Linked DNA regions of Arabidopsis thaliana. The protein of the gene in region 1 interacts with the protein of each later gene in a pairwise test. Each region holds a gene or a part of one and is shown on either strand. Other genes may lie near its edges. The genes, in order: AT1G07560 and SMO1-2.

Region 1 (6,591 bases):
TAAGTGTCGGATCCTTTTTGGTCAAATCTTTGTTTTCTGGAATTGGCTTCTTCATATGAATGATCACTTTACATTTTCCTTAGGTCATCTAACAACAAAGAGTGATGTCTATAGCTTCGGGGTTGTCCTTCTGGAGCTGTTGTCTGGTCGTCGAGCAGTGGACAAGAACCGCCCATCTGGAGAGAGGAACCTTGTGGAGTGGGCTAAACCATACCTCGTAAACAAAAGAAAGATATTCCGAGTCATTGATAATCGTCTTCAGGACCAGTACTCTATGGAAGAAGCATGTAAAGTGGCTACTCTGTCTCTGAGATGTCTCACCACAGAGATTAAGCTGAGACCAAACATGAGCGAGGTTGTTTCGCACCTCGAACACATTCAGTCTTTAAATGCTGCTATAGGAGGAAATATGGATAAAACAGATAGAAGAATGCGTAGGAGAAGTGACAGTGTTGTCAGCAAAAAAGTGAATGCAGGTTTTGCTCGACAGACTGCTGTTGGCAGTACAGTTGTTGCTTATCCTCGCCCATCAGCCTCGCCACTGTATGTTTGAATAGGGTTAAACACGTCCTGGGTCTGTGTTCAGTGTTCTTGGTAAAACATTTGCAGGACATGAAGTTCCTATATCATGTCCTGAGAATGGAATCTGGATGTACAGTTTTTGTCTCTCTTAATGTAAGAATTCTGTTTAAATACAGTTCACCTCTCATTACACTACGACAAACATTTAATTTTGATCTTTGTAACATGAGGATTCATCAACATAATGATAAGTTCGTTCGCATATCTGCTTGTTATGAATGCTGCAAAGTAAAGAGTAAAAGACTAACGTGCCTTGGGGTTCACATCTGTGCCAAAGCTTAAGTTAATGTCCATGGATCTCGATGTGTCTATGTCTCTTGTCCTGTTGTTTTCAGATACCAGACACTCCTTCAGCTCATGAACAACATGGGACATGTTGGGTCTTTTCAAGGAAGAAGGATTCACACATGTCATTGCTAATTCAAGAGCTTTCCATGCAGAACCAGAGTCATAGACCCCTTGAAGTTTAGGATCCATAATATTGCTAATGTCTCCTCTAGTAAGCATAAGTTTCACCCATTCTGCTATGTGAGGCATGTCGCGGTTATGATCGATCACCGGTTTGTTTGTAATAATTTCTAGCAGTACAACACCAAAACTGTAGACATCACTCTTCTCAGACAACCTATTAGTTTGGTAGTATCTGCAAGACGAAATGATTATGATTCTTTTGTTTTAACCGGTAGAGAAGATAGTTTTCAGAAAGAGCTAAAATTCTTACTCATGATCAAGGTATCCAAATGTTCCAGCAACAAGTGTAGACACATGAGATTCATCCCCAATGGGAAAAGATCTAGAAAGCCCAAAATCTGCAAGCTTAGCTTGTAATTGATCGTCCAATAGTATGTTAGAACTTTTTACATCTCTATGAACTATCAGCGGTTTGCAACCAATATGCAAGTACTCCAAACCTGTCTCCAAAGTTCTTTGGTGTTTAACAAAACAATAGAAAGTTTGATCAAGTGGTGTTAAAAGGAAATGAAAATGACGAACCTGACGCTGCATCAACAGCTATGTTTAGTCTATCAACCCAGCTAATGATGGAGCTACCTGCATGTATTAGCATAGACATGAATGTCACATATCAACACGATGCATTTCTGTCATGATATATGCATGAGAATATACATGTGTTACCTGAAAAATGTTTTTTCAAATCGCCATTGACCATGTACTGGTAGATGAGGGCCAGATGATCTTTTTCATCACAGTATCCAACAAGACTTACCAGATTTGTGTGGTAAACCCTTAGAAGAAGTTCTACCTATCCAAATATGTACAATATATAATATACGTCAACTTAGCCTTACAAAAATGTATAAAAATTCATAAGGGTGCCAAAGAAACCTCTGTTTTGAACTCTTTATAGCCTTGAGCTGATGATGGAGAGAGTAGCTTGACCGCTACTTCTTCAGTACCATTTATATAACCATGATAGACCATTCCAAATCCTCCTTTACCCAAAACCCTTTCAAATTTCTTTGTCATGGCAAGAACTTCGGCATATGTATATCTTTTCTTTATTGTTTCTATTGATTGTTGGCTTGGTGATGGACCTAGAACCATACACAAATAATTAGAAATCACTTTATAATTATGTATGCATACAATAATATTTCTGGTTTGATGAATTTGATACAGATACCTTTTCTGCTTGATGAGCGTCTTTTAATACAAACAAAAAGCAGAGCGATCATTGCTATTATAGCAGCCAAAGAAGCAAGTGATGCAACAACTGGTAACATGATGCTATTTTTCTTTTTGTTGCATGAACTGGAAAAACATAGGTTTGGATTTCCCTGAATGCTAGTATTGTAAACAAGCTAATCAAGTGTTAGTGAAGACATACTGCAAATTAAGATATCATATTTCAATGACCATCAACTATTGAAGACTAAATATAGTTGAGAAGATCTTACTTCAACTTCAACCCATTTTTCACTTTGTTGAGAAGAGCTTGAGGGACTGATCCACTAAGGTTGTTTCCGCTTAAGTTTCTGCCTAGGTAAAAAATAAACATCAACAGACTCGGATAATAAATTGGCAATGTGATTCATATGAGTGACCAAGTAACTTACATGACTAACAATGATTTCATTTTGGCTAGAAATTCAGGTACTCCACCTGTTAGATTATTATTTGAAAAGTCCCTATCATATGCAAAAATGAATTAATTGATTATATGTTTGGCCTTGATAAACAGAGTATTCAAGTAAAACAGAGTATTCAGGTAAAACAGAGTATGTGTTTGACCTTGATAAAAAATTGGCAATGTGTTCATACTTACAATTTTTTAAGCTCCGTAAGATTTTGGATCTCAGGAACTATAATTCCAGTTAGTTCACTTGAGGACAAGTCTCTGGTGGTAATTAAAGATCATAACACACATTTAAAGTGTAAGATGTTACGAAATGCAGAGCTTAACAAAAAACTGTTTTAATGTTACGAATAGCCATGGACGTACAAGGAATGGATTCTTGGTGGTGTAGACATATTGGTGTACTCGCAGGTAAGACCATCCCACAATAATTGTTGAGGAACACATGGATCTCCTTGCCAACTAATTCTACTTAATCCATAGCTTGTTTCTATGCTCTTGATAGCAAGGACTAACACACAATAACAGAATGAAAACACTTAAGTATATACAAAAAAGTATATATATACTCAGATTTTGCTGACATACCGTCATTTGCATTAGTTTCAGACTGCGGAAACTCCACTGTTATAAAAGCCTCAATAGCATTGAGGAGGGGAGGGAGAGTTGATTTTGGAGTTTTTATTAGTTGCAAATGGCATGTCCCTCCTTCACATTTAACTGGTGATGTATTGAATAGAGTACCCACTAGAAACTCGTCAGGACTAACAGGTCCATAGTTAACATCTTGGCCTGCGCTAATGTTGAATTCCCTGGTATCATTTTCCCTTAAGGATTGGATCTCAGCGACGTGGAGGTATGCATAAACTAAGTCGTCAGGTGTTTCCAAATTCCAAGAAATGGTTAATGGTGAACTCACATTTGCAGGTGTGGCTGCCGTAACCACTACGTCTTCCGGTATGTCATAGCCGTTATCATCAGAAGTGTTGACCGTGAGACTTGTTCTTAACAGTCTCCATTCCGGCATGAAAAATGGACTCCAAAGACGATCATGGACATCTTCTGGATACCTGAAGAGAAAGGATGGAAAGTATTACCGAACAGTGTATCCAGTGGAAACCAATCTATTCATTACCAATTGGTTTTGAGTTGGCTTACCGAACAGTTTCTTTGGAATCAGTCAAATGGACGCGGAACAATGTCTTGAGGGAACCAGATTGAGGAATATAAGTATTATTTCTCAATGGTCGTAGTTCTAAAGCTGATATTAGCGGCGTAGTTGTTCCCGTCTTAACAAGACAAATCTGCAAAGAAGTTGACCTTGGTATGTGAATGATTTCCGCCCTTGTTCCGTTTACATTTCTTTGCAAATCGACCGTGGTCCATATATTTGGACCAAGATAAAGGTCGAACTTTGGGTGTGTGTTAAGATTATCGTAGTTTCCATAAGTAAACATGGCTACGATCAGATAGTTTGTGCCTTGTATGACGATAAGAGTATAACAGTTTCGTACTCCATCTGGAAAATATCTCAAAACCGTGTATGGCTTTATATACTCCATCCCCGGAACATTTTGAATCTTGCCGCTTTTTCCACTTTTGATGAAATCGGCGTCTGATGTGAATGTTAACTTTGTTAATGGTTCGGTATAAGGAGACTCATCGGCTTGCAACCCGCAATCCAAACTGATGAATCCTGATAAAGGCAAAAGAAAAAAAACAGAGAAATAATTTGGTAAAAAAATAAGTTTGGAAACTGAATTAATGACTAAATTGTGATAGGAAACATGTTTAGTCAAAGTTAAAAGAAGAAAACCTGAAACAAAAAAAGTTATACCTTGTTGATCTTGTGCTCGAAGAAAATCGGAAATGCCTAAAGACAAAACTAGGAAGGCCAATAGAAGTCCACGGAGGTTTTTCATTTTCCCACCTCTGTCCAAAAAAAAAAAAGGATTACGAATTGCCAATGTACTTGCAATATAAAACATGCCAAATCAAACCTTTGGATATAAAAAACGGATGAATTGTTAAATAATTATTTATTAACTTATATTTCTGCTTGGGGCGGATCATAACGGGAAATATGTCAACGTTCACATACCAATAACAATAAGCCACCTATTGAGTTGGACCGATCTTCTAACCAAATTCGAAATAATTTGTCTAATAATTTGATTATGGTAAGACTTTTCTCAAGTGGAATTATAAAATCTGACAAGTGTGTGTCATGTTTAAATTTTATAAAAAAGGTTTGCAAGTGGAAATTAGTAGAACTGATTGATTCTAATTGGTTATCATCAAGCACACCTATAGTAGATTAACCTGAGAAAATGAGTTATTACCGTGTGTGTGAAGGGATGTCATATTCATATATGGCAAAGTCACCGATCGTGTCAGAATCAAACCACGAATATAAGCAAAAGTGAACAAATGAATCGAGATTTTTAAAATATAGAGAGTATATAACCTGGTTGCATATTTTTCATTTCAAAAATTTTATAATCAACCACTAACGTCTTGATTTATTTTATATGGATATTATACCAGTGGTTAGCTGTTATTATTCGTTAGATAAAACCATGGCAAAAGTTTAAGTTTTTAAAACAAAATTTATACGTAGACGTCACCATGATTAATTCCATTTGCAGCTTATAACACTAAAAATTTGTCCATTTCAAAACTTTGGTAGTAGTAAGTTTTGTTAGTTGTGAACGAAGAAATCATCAAAAATGGACACTTGCACCAGGCTTCTGTTTGCTGCGTGTGCCACTTTATCCATCTTACATCTTGTTCAATCTCAGAATCAACAAGGTCTTTTTATCATCTGTTTTTCTTTTTTACAATAATTTTGGAAATAAACCATTCTAAATTTTTTTTTGAGATAGAACTTTATATAAGAAAAACAATATGTACCTCTCCCTTTTCGGTCTTACCAGGATTCATCAGTTTGGATTGTGGATTAGCTTCTAACGAGTCTCCTTACAACGAAGCAAATAGCAATCTGACGTACATATCCGATGCTGATTTCATTCAAGGAGGAAAAACTGGTAATGTCCAAAAAGACTTGCTTATGAAACTCAGGAAGCCATATACGGTTTTGAGATACTTTCCGGATGGAATCCGAAATTGTTACAGTCTAAATGTCAAGCAAGACACAAATTATCTAATCAGGGTTATGTTTCGATATGGAAACTATGACGGGCTTAACAATTCTCCAAGATTCGACCTCTATCTTGGTCCTAATATTTGGACAACCATAGATATGGGGAAGTCAGGTGATGGAGTTCTGGAGGAGATCATTCACATCACAAGGTCTAACATCTTGGACATATGTCTCGTCAAGACAGGGACGAGTACACCAATGATATCATCCATAGAGTTGAGACCCTTGCTATATGATACTTATATTGCTCAAACCGGTTCCTTGAGGAATTATAACCGGTTCTATTTCACCGATTCAAACAACTATATACGGTACCTTATTTTCACCTTATGCTTTATAAATAACCAAAGTAGATTATGAGCAGAAACTTTAATCTCCACAAAAACTTTAATATTATTGTCATTTAAGCCATCTAGCGTAAACCAAGATTATACAGTATTAATTATTGTTATTAGTTGATGTAAAGTAAAATATATAACTTGATTTTGGCAGTTATCCCCAAGATGTGCATGATAGAATTTGGGTGCCGTTGATATTACCAGAATGGACGCATATAAACACAAGTCACCACGTTATTGATTCTATAGATGGCTATGACCCACCACAAGATGTACTTAGGACCGGCGCCATGCCCGCTAATGCCAGTGATCCAATGACCATTACCTGGAATTTGAAGACGGCTACTGACCAGGTTTACGGTTATATTTACATCGCCGAGATCATGGAAGTCCAGGCCAATGAAACTAGA
Region 2 (4,698 bases), on another chromosome or scaffold:
GATCTGATAACATGAACTGGAGAACTGACTCTAGAATTTGCAGCTGAACTTAAAACTCTTTGTTCAGCCTATATAATGGTTATATTGAAATATTTTATAATATTAGGCTTAAACTGTAAACTTTTAAATCTTTGTGGACTAAATGATGAATTCTCTTACAGAGTTGAAATCATGAATTTGTTGATTTGAAAAAATAGAAGCAAACGACTCTGACCTCTTGATTGATCGGAGATGAAGACGAGGGCGAATATAAGTTCAACAACGACGGAGACGAAGCGAAAACCTCAGAGCGAATCCTAGGCAAGTAAACGATCGGTTTTGTTTCTTCTTCCATCGGTAAACCTCTCATCGGCGATGGTCGCCGCAAGTGATTACTCTGTCCGTCGCGGTGGCGATTAAGACTCGGCTCTGAGAAGCTTCTCTCGAAAACCTTATTACTCGATTTAGAGCGATTATTCTTGTCGGAAACATATCTGAAAGCTGTTCGTCTTGTTCTGGAGCTCCGACCTCCATTTCCTACAGGATTCGAAACTTTTCTCCGGTGAATCGAATCAGACATTTCGTGAATGATGATCTTTGCTTAAGGAGGAGGAAGAAGAAAAAACAATTGAGAGGTTTTGGTGGTTTGCTTGGCAAAGAAGCGAATTAAGAGTTATTCTCTGCTTTTGCTTTGCTTTACTCTTTTATTATCTTCTTTTCTTTCATTTGTATTTTTCAAATGTTTTTCCAAATCAAATTGTTTTTTTTTTTCTTTTTAACATAAGTGTGGATTTTAACATTTAAATTCAAACCGACCAAAAAAAATACACGATTAAAGGTAGTAATATAGACGTGGTTCTTGTAATATAGTATTTATATTTCCTGTCGACGATCGATTCTTTTATAGTATGATATCTTGTGCTGATTCTTACGTACTTGTGTTTATTATAGTAAAATAGAAATGCGTTGAATTGTAGCACTGTATTAGATTAAAACTTCTATGTAATTATGGAGCTAAAATGTTTTCTGGTTAGCATACGGAGTATTTTTTAAAAAATCTATCCTTATTATGGATAAAATGTGTTGGAAAAAGGCAATAATATACTTGTACAAATGAATATAAATTTCTTGATGCATTGTTTTAGAAGATTACTTGGGAGACTCACAATCCTATAAAGTGTAAAGGAAACAAAACTATTGGATTTGTAGAAAAGTTGACACGTTAAACAAGAAAACGAGAAACCCAAACAAGTTTCGTAAAACACAAAAAATCTAAGGTGATAGTGAGAAGCACATAAACAAATGAAAAAAAACACATAAACAATTAGAGAGGAGGGAGACTCAACTAGTATCATCAATTCATTAAATTTTACGAAAGTGCTGAGTAATGGAAGTAATATAAAAAATTTATAACCAAAAACAAGAATTCATCAACGTCAAGAAAAAACAACATAAAATAAAAAGGAGAATTTGTGTGGCTGAGATTGGTCCGAGGTTTGTTTCCACTGTTAAAAGAAAGAACTTTTGGGCTTGATTTAAAGTCATTAATGGTGTGGTCGACTTCTCTTATGCCATACGCACTCATGTTCACGCGTAACGCACTTGTTTTCCACCAAGTATTTAACAACGATCGTTTGTGACCCTTTTTTATGTATACTTGAAACTTAAAAAATATGTATTATTACATTTAAATATCATTTATTGTCATGACGAAAAAATTGTAAGACTTTATAATTTCAAATGTAACGTCACTTTTCGTGATGATGTAATACCATTCTATTACTTAAATACAATTGGCCAACAGCCTCAATTTATTTCAACCTTTTGCTATCTCTATAGTATAATGGTGTCATAAAAATTCATAGACACATTCCACAAAACTCGTGTATGTATATCCGTGTCTTTATATATATGTGTATATCCAAGTGTATAATAAAGTTTTTTTTCTTAAAAAAAAAAACAGAAATTTGTATGCACCATTTAAACAATTAAAGAAAGAAAATTGGGCCTACTCCAAACACAACGCTACTGTGGAGTACATTTTATCCATTTTAATGGCCCAATAATTTATAATGGGCTTTTAGTATGGGCCATTTTGTCCCTCTTTTTTATGTTGTAAGCGAGATCTTGAGACAATGTTAGTAATTTTGGTTTAATCCGGTTCAACAAGTAAACATCACACTTGTAAACTAAACCGATAATGCCACGTCACTACTCCAAATATTCGCCAAATCATAACAGACAAAATCCAACAACAACGACGACACTCTCCTCTCTCACTCTCTCTCTCAATCTCAATCTCAATCTCACGTCAACGACCGTCGCCGTCACCGGAAGGAAACGATTTCATCATCTTCTACAATGATCCCATACGCAACAATCGAAGAAGCGTCGATCGCATTATCTCGAAACCTCACATGGCTAGAGACTCTCTGGTTCGATTACTCCGCCACCAAATCCGATTACTACCTCTACTGCCACAACATTCTCTTCCTCTTCCTCATCTTCTCTCTCGTTCCTCTCCCTCTCGTTTTCATCGAATCATCTCAATCCACCTCAGATTTGTTCAATCGCTACAAAATCCAACCAAAAGTGAAAAACTCATTCTCATCGATGTTCAAATGTTACAAAGACGTCATGAAGATGTTCATCCTCGTCGTTGGTCCATTACAACTCGTTTCTTATCCTTCGATTCAGGTTAATTTCTGGAATTTGGCTTCTAATTTCGGAATTGATGCGATTTAGGTTGATTTTGTTTTTCGTGTGTTGAAACAGATGATTGAGATACGAAGTGGATTACCATTACCATCATGTATGGAGATTGTAGCACAGTTAGTGGTTTACTTCTTGGTAGAGGATTATACTAATTACTGGGTTCATAGATTCTTTCATTGTAAATGGGGTTATGAGAAGTTTCATCATATTCATCATGAGTATACAGCTCCTATTGGTTATGCTGCTCCTTATGCTCATTGGGCTGAGGTTTTGCTTCTTGGCATTCCCACGTTTCTTGGACCTGCTATTGCTCCTGGTCATATGATTACCTTTTGGTTGTGGATTGCTTTACGACAGATTGAGGCTATCGAAACTCATAGCGGGTAAGGAAAAGGAATGGTTTTGAATTGTTTATCTTAGTTTATAATGCGTTGGGGCTATGTGGGAAGTTTCAATAGTGCGTTTACCTTTTGTTGGTGGGGCTAAGGTTAGGCACTAGCCTTTTCTGATGCTTTATTGACTGTAATTAGCTCTAGGTGATTGTTTAGAGACTGCTTAGTTAATCTTTTGTGGTCAACATGAGCAAGAAATCATTCTTGAGATGATAAGCATCTTGTCTTGTTCAAATAAGTATTTGGACAATATGATGATTGCTTGGTGCATGAAACTTGTTTCTCTGGAGATAAATTGACTTGTTTTTTTTATTTTTCGTTTTCTTTTGAAGATATGATTTCCCATGGTCTCTGACAAAGTACATTCCATTTTATGGTGGAGCTGAGTATCATGATTACCATCACTACGTTGGAGGACAAAGCCAGAGTAACTTTGCTTCAGTTTTTACTTACTGCGATTACATCTATGGAACTGATAAAGTGAGTAATGAAACTTCAGTTCTTTTCCGGTTAGCGTCTACTAATTCTGGATAAAAATTTGACAATGTGGGTATATGTTCTTATTTTCATCAGGGTTACCGATTCCAGAAGAAGCTTCTTCAGCAGGTAAATAAATACTCCATAAACTGAGACTAGCTTATCTCTCGGCATACCGCATACCCATAAACGCAGCCATCAAATTGCAAGCTCACATAACAGTATATGTGGTATCTAGTATCATCATATTGATGATATGTTTCTTGATGCTATATCTTATGAGTTGCAGATGAAGGAGAAGTCCAAGAAGAGCAACAAGCTGGTTAATGGAGGAGAGAAATTCGATTAGTAAATCTAAAACCCCTCGCGAGGTTGACTTACCGTAAGTTTCAAGCATTCTACAAATGTAGTCAATACTTAAAAATGAAAGGGTAGTTAGTTTTCTCTGTTCTGGTCTTCCCTGTGTCACATGAAAATGCTCGTGACGAGTTCCTATCTGAAGTTTTTTTTAAAACTCTTTTGGAATTGGTGTGTGTCAATAAATCCTTTTTGTATATTTTAAATGTTACATAGTGCATTCATTGGCTTGTAACAAGTTCCTACTCTGATAGTATTAAGTTAAGTTAAGTATAACTTAAGTATCTAACGTTAACAACAAGGCCCGTCTAGCTCAGTTGGTAGAGCGCAAGGCTCTTAACCTTGTGGTCGTGGGTTCGAGCCCCACGGTGGGCGTTTCTTTTCCTTTTTGTTGCATTTGAGTGGCATGATTTAAAAGGAAAATCCTTACCATAACGATAGTTGCATTGATGATGGGGGTCGATTTCACTCTCGGAAAACAAATCTAATCAAAGAAGGCTAAAACAAGCGAAACACATGCATTTACTAAAGCTGTCTCACCAAACTTGAAAACAACAGTTTTAAGTACAGTAGTAGGTACAATAACTTATTTAGTTGTTACCAACTAATTTATGACTTTAAAATCGAAACACTCTCTTCCTTCCTGTGTTTTTTCAACTAAACCTAACAACACACAGTTTTTCTTTAACACACATTTCCTTGTTCTCGTTGTCTTAGAATTACCATGGACACAGTGAATATGATAATAACTTCAAGAATGGGGTTGTAGCTGTGTGAG

The links.
Region 2: the proteins of AT1G07560 (region 1) and SMO1-2 interact in a protein complementation assay, tested with the Arabidopsis thaliana proteins (one large-scale study listed by BioGRID).

The regions. Positions count from the first base shown.
Region 1 is NC_003070.9:2,325,331-2,331,921, reverse strand, and holds AT1G07560 (Leucine-rich repeat protein kinase family protein), read right to left. Parts: upstream 4,608-6,591; 5' UTR 4,603-4,607; coding exon 4,518-4,602; intron 4,377-4,517; coding exon 3,839-4,376; intron 3,751-3,838; coding exon 3,269-3,750; intron 3,192-3,268; coding exon 3,047-3,191; intron 2,942-3,046; coding exon 2,870-2,941; intron 2,733-2,869; coding exon 2,661-2,732; intron 2,580-2,660; coding exon 2,502-2,579; intron 2,389-2,501; coding exon 2,228-2,388; intron 2,139-2,227; coding exon 1,930-2,138; intron 1,847-1,929; coding exon 1,720-1,846; intron 1,633-1,719; coding exon 1,576-1,632; intron 1,494-1,575; coding exon 1,304-1,493; intron 1,226-1,303; coding exon 826-1,225; 3' UTR 774-825; downstream 1-773. Other genes in the region: APK1A (Protein kinase superfamily protein), read left to right, coding at 84-553; AT1G07550 (Leucine-rich repeat protein kinase family protein), read left to right, coding at 5,410-5,491, 5,617-6,154, 6,336-6,591.
Region 2 is NC_003075.7:11,954,338-11,959,035, reverse strand, and holds SMO1-2 (sterol C4-methyl oxidase 1-2), read left to right. Parts: upstream 1-2,117; 5' UTR 2,118-2,340; coding exon 2,341-2,676; intron 2,677-2,754; coding exon 2,755-3,077; intron 3,078-3,418; coding exon 3,419-3,566; intron 3,567-3,659; coding exon 3,660-3,692; intron 3,693-3,852; coding exon 3,853-3,912; 3' UTR 3,913-4,196; downstream 4,197-4,698. Other genes in the region: AT4G22758 (PPR containing protein), read right to left, coding at 215-559. UniProt on the Arabidopsis thaliana protein: Non-heme iron oxygenase involved in sterols biosynthesis by catalyzing the removal of the first methyl group at the C-4 position. 4,4-dimethyl-9-beta,19-cyclopropylsterols such as 24-methylenecycloartanol are the preferred substrates.